Kluyveromyces lactis: one gene and its partner. The protein of the gene in region 2 binds, or shares a complex with, the protein of the main gene of each other region. Links are inferred from orthologs where the notes say so. Each region holds a gene or a part of one and is shown on either strand. Other genes may lie near its edges.

Region 1 (3,265 bases), on a different chromosome or scaffold from region 2:
ATAGTCACTTGAAGAAACAACCGAAATTGAAACCTTTGCCTCATCACAAACCGATCAAGATTAAGATCACTATGAAATCAAGGTACCCAGAGGCAGAAAGGGAACAGAAACTGATTCAGCAAGAACATGTGAATCATGATAAGACGCACAAGCCAGAGACAGAGACGTACTGTTTCTGTAGAGATGTGTCGTATGGACCCATGGTTGCTTGTGATAATGAATCTTGTGCCATCGAATGGTTCCATTACCCCTGTGTAGGATTATCAGCCGCACCCAAACCCAATGAGAAATGGTTTTGTAGTGACATGTGTAGGAAACAGTACTCCAATCATCGGAAAAAGAGCAAGAGAAGAAAGCGTTGATGAAGACCGCGGAGGCTCTTCAGTGCTTCTCCAGAAAAATAACTTGCAAGAAGGAAGCGCGTGTAATTATTATTTATTCAAATGCTAATATTTTCATATTTAAAGATAGTTGTCAAAACAACAGGAAATATTATGAACCAGCCGATGGGATAGTGAAAGAAAGTGTAAACACTTTCTTGAGTACTCCAAAACTAGTCTATAAAATTACAGCATGCAAAGCTTTTTACTCAATTCGACTCTATTAGAGTTGAGGAGTTTATAAGTCCTTCTTCAAAGTACCCAAGAAAGCGTGCTTTTCAGCTGGGGTTTGGAATCTACCCTTACCGAACTTAGAAGCAGTGTCGATCCACTTCAAGGTAACTTCTTCCAAGGCCTTTCTGGAGGTGTTGGTGTACAAGGACTTTCTTAAAGTAACAACTCTCTTTCTGGTACCTGGGATAGAACCCTTCAAGATAACGAAATCATTGTTGATAGCACCGTAGTGGACGAAACCACCCATTGGGGTGATGGTCTTCTTGGTTCTGTCGAATTCGGTAGCGGCGTTAGCTTCGTCGTCACCCTTACCAACTCTGTAGACCTTGTGGTTAATAGAGGTTCTGTGGTGGTAACCTCTTTGACCAGCTCTAGCAACGGACCACATAACGTGGGCTGGATGCCAAGCACCGATACAAGCAACCTTTCTCAAACCTCTGTGGGTCTTTCTTGGAAGCTTCTTGGTACCCCATCTGTGGGTAACACCTTCGAAACCGTGACCCTTGGTAACGGCAACGACATCGATCATTTCGTTTTGTTCGAAGACAGAGTCAACGGCAACGGTCTTTTCGAAGTGTTCCTTAGCCCAGTCAACCTTGTCAGAGACAGAACCACCGTTCAATTGGATTTCAGCCAAATGAGCCTTCTTTTGAGACAATGGAGTCTTTCTGACTTGGGTGTGGACCAAGACTCTAACAACAGAAGCGTACTTCTTGATTCTGGCCAATTCTCTGTCGACTTGGGCACCGTTTTCAGCGTACTTAGCAGAGTACTTGGTGAAAGCCTTCTTCTTGGACTTGTACCAGTTCTTGTAGAATCTTCTCTTGACTTCGTCGGACAAATGTTCAGCCCAGACGGTGGTCAAGGATCTCAAACCTCTTGGGGTTTCAACGTAACCAACAACACCGACAACAACGATTGGTGGGGTGTCAACAACGGTAACAGCTTCAACAACTTCACGCTTGTGGAACTTGGAACCTGGTCTGTCCAAGTCTCTAACGATAGTGGACATACCAGCCTTGTAACCCAAGAAAGAGGTCAAAGCAACTGGCTTAGTTTGGTCGTCCTTTGGGAAAGACTTAACTCTACCTCTAACAGAGGCAGCTCTCTTTCTTGGCAAGAAACCTAAATGACCGTGACGTGGAGCTTCGTACTTTCTGTGAGACATTGTGTATTAATATTAACTAGCTAGAGCTGTGGTTACCGTTCTAGAGTTTTGCGATGGGGAAGGGAAATAAACAAAGTAGATACCATTAAACACTTTCAACTTTACATATGATGAGATGAAGAACTATTAAAAATTTTTCACTTGATTTTTTCATGTTTTTTAAATAGTCCAAGCTTCGATGCGATGAGATGTGAAAAAAATTTTTTTCTTCAAGATCGCTTGGAGATGAGAGACGAGAAAGTTCGTGAAAGGTGATTTAAATAGGAGAAAGTACTATCATTAGATACGTCCATAGGTAAAAATACAAAAATCACAGAAAGACGGGGTAACAGTGCATATAGAATCCGCCCACGTGACTTGTTCTTTTTTTTCTGTTTTTCCCCTCTGAAACGCAGTTTACCCCCCATTTATCGGTTCGCCTTTGGTCCTGACGAAATGACGGCGGGAGGCACCTATCTTTTTCAAATGGTAAACAAATGACACAACGATGGAGCCAACAAGTATTAAACAAAAATGCACGGAAAAGAAGAAAACCACAGTGAAACTACATTCAACTGTTATCAATCACTAACGACAACAACAAAAACAGAGACGTGTGCAGATCAACACGATTTATTACCACTACGTAATGTGACGAACTGAGATCTCCAAAAAGTCTCACCATCAAGTTGTTCCTCACACCATTCGGAAAAACCTTACGAGACGAATCCCGGAAAAACAACACTGCCGTTTTTCCCGCTTCTTCCTACGACACCCACTGCGCACCTCCGCTAGAGCTGGATACTCAAGCTGTTTTATTTCTGTCAAATCTCCTTCTCCAACCAGTCGGAAAAACTTTTCTGGCTCCCCATCGAAACAACAGGTCGCCCCGTACAGATCTTTCCGAAAGGAAAAGCAATAAGCGAAGAAAAAGAAAACACACCCGGGCATCAGCCCGGGTAATACATAGGTCTCGTAGATGTTTTTCTTCTTGTCCCCCCTTGTGATTCTAAGAGAACCATAGAAAGAAAAAACAATTTTATGATTTTTTCGGATTCCCGCCCCACTATTCTTTGGAAAAATAACCGTTTTCTACTGCACATTCTAGCTGCGGAAAGGAGAACCACTTTTCCGAGCAACCTCTTTTGGCTGTTTTTCTCTTTTTCTGCAAATAATTACAGTGAAAGCTCCATATTGTTTTTCTTTTAGATTCAGGTAACCAACCACTGGGAAAAGTACCGGGGTCTGGTTGGAATCTCAGTTGGATGACTCTGAATTGACACTGCTGACACGCTTGGAAATATAGTATTGTAGCTCTATTGTCTGTGGTACCTTAGATAAATCGGAGTGGGTTCACCTTTCCGGTCCAAATTGTTCGACCACAAGAAACGGTGCACCGGCGTGTTAAATACCGGGTTCTTGAAATTCATATATTGCGAGTTTTCCATGCTTCCTGGTGTCTCTTTATCTGAATATTATATTCTTTCTGAAAAGATTTGTAAAT
Region 2 (2,198 bases):
AGCTGTTGAAGACAACGGTGAATCTGCTTACAGAACTTTGAGATTGGCTAGATCCGACAAGAGATACAAGGGTATCAGAGAAAAGAGAGCTAAGGACAAGGCTGAAGCTGAAGCTGAAAAGAAGAAATAAGCAACTCCATACCTTTTATTCAAATACTAGACAAAACGTTGTTTTATTTTATAAATATCTTTTAATCAAATTATCTTTCCGTCATTAAGAATTAATGTCACCGCATCCCCTTTCTCAATAAGTTTCCTGTTTGGTAATTATGAGACATTGTCTACCGTGTAAAAAAACGTATAAACTATAATATTTTACATCTAATTCAAATTATCAGATTATCAATTTGTCTAATGATATTATGGAACCTTATACGATCCTACTTATATTTCAAAGTGTCACTAGTGATGAGATGCTTTGAAGATTGGACGTTTGTGTATTAAAAACGGTTGATTATATATACATATTTGTGTATACACTCAAATGATGTGTTATTTGATTCTCAAATTTAACGTAGTAAGTAGTAGCTTAATGCGCTAGTAATAAAAACAGAATTTATTCCTCCTATGTTAAAAGTTAACCTAATTTAATCGAACAAACCGAAACCCATGTCATCATCGGATTCTTCCTTGGCTTCTTCTTCCTTTTCTTCAGCAGCAGCTTCTTCGGCACCGGCAGCAGCACCACCAGTAGCAACTGGAGCAGCACCACCAGCACCAGCTTCGAACTTGACCAACAAGTCCTTGATGTTTTGCTTAGCCAAAGCCTTAGCAAAGATATCAGCCCAGATACCTTCAACTGGGACGTTGGCAGCTTCAGTCAAAGCCAACAACTTTTCAGAAGAGACTTCGATATCAGCATCAGCCAAGATCAAAGCAGCGTAAGACAAAGCAGTTTCAACAGACATTTCTAATGTAAAATTTCCTGGTTCTGGCAAGTGTAGAGATAATCAGATTAAGCTCGTAATGAAGCAGACTATTTCTTTGGTCCTTTGAAAATAAGAGAAACTAAATAATAAAACGATATAAGTAATAAGAATATTTCATAAAAGAAGCTTCAAATTGAACAAATGCCATCATGTGTAAAACAAATACTTTTCCTATCGAAATGTTAAATGGTTACTCCTGTAAGTTTTATTGATATTTCACATCTCATCGTGGAAAGGTGAAAAATTTCAGGAAAAGCTGCGTGGTTTCGTCAGGCATGATAATTCGTGTGATGTGATATAATGTTTCTGCATGAAACGCTGGATGTACAGAGTCAGCGTAGATGTACAAGGGAGAATCCCTGATATTGAGTCGGAGTGAGTCCGCAGATGGGTGCTATATTCCACATAATATTCTATGTTTTATAAACATATATATACTCGCGCGCAGTGTTACTGATGAGTGTACCTTGTATCTTAAGGTATGATGCGAAAGTTATGGGATTGTTAAAAGATGCATGCAAAGTGAAGTAATTTGCGAATGTGTTGATTGTATCTGTCGTTAGTCGTGAAGGTAATGAAGGAGACAGCAGTGCAGGAGAAAATGCTTTCAGTTCATGAAATAAGCTCCAAATTAGGTTAATGATCCTGCAAACTTAGTTTGATTGCTTGTTGGAGCATTTCGTCATCCAGTTCTTCTAATGTTTTCTGACGACGTTGAGGACTATTCCCTCCGTCAGGGCCTCCAACTGAAGAAGAAATGGATGCGTGTCTAGAAGGGTGTTCGGGATCAATTAATTGATTACTCATGTGTATTGCAGTAGCTTTTGCTGATCTTCTAGCGAGTCTTAATCTTTCTTTGGTTAGATTGATCTCCCAGTCAGGTCTTATAGAATCGGATGTTATCACAGACGGATCATCGGCTGCTATTGAGCCCCTACGAATTTGTTCTATAGTTACGAGTTCGTCATCTTCATTGCTGCTAGAATCCGATACTAGGCCTTCACGGTCCTTGTATTCGGCAATCTTGTATTCGGAAGCGTAGATCCCGTTGATTCCAGTCCGCACGTCCCTGCGCGGTTCGTATGTTACACCAAACTCTGCAGTGGCACAGTAAGGGCAATTGGCAGGTTCACTGACAAGAAGGTTGGGATCCTTCAATTCGTCCGGTTCTTGATCTTGAGTTGGATCTACCTCTTCATGCGGGAAGTGTGGTGCGGCACGCTTGATTTGGACGAAGCATTCAGTACAGATCGGTTGCTTGCAACATCT

What was found. The genes of interacting proteins can lie anywhere in the genome.
Region 1: RPP1A (region 2) and RPL3 share a complex: the UniProt entries of both Saccharomyces cerevisiae proteins name them as parts of the large ribosomal subunit. The link is inferred for Kluyveromyces lactis from reciprocal best matches to the Saccharomyces cerevisiae genes RPP1A and RPL3.

The regions. Positions count from the first base shown.
Region 1 is NC_006042.1:1,522,412-1,525,676, reverse strand, and holds RPL3 (60S ribosomal protein uL3), read right to left. Parts: upstream 1,783-3,265; coding exon 619-1,782; downstream 1-618. Other genes in the region: YNG1 (Yng1p), read left to right, coding at 1-362. UniProt on the Saccharomyces cerevisiae protein: Component of the ribosome, a large ribonucleoprotein complex responsible for the synthesis of proteins in the cell.
Region 2 is NC_006041.1:1,966,728-1,968,925, forward strand, and holds RPP1A (ribosomal protein P1), read right to left. Parts: upstream 909-2,198; coding exon 588-908; downstream 1-587. Other genes in the region: KLLA0_E22001g (60S ribosomal protein eL13), read left to right, coding at 1-130; SIP5 (Sip5p), read right to left, coding at 1,566-2,198. UniProt on the Saccharomyces cerevisiae protein: Component of the ribosome, a large ribonucleoprotein complex responsible for the synthesis of proteins in the cell.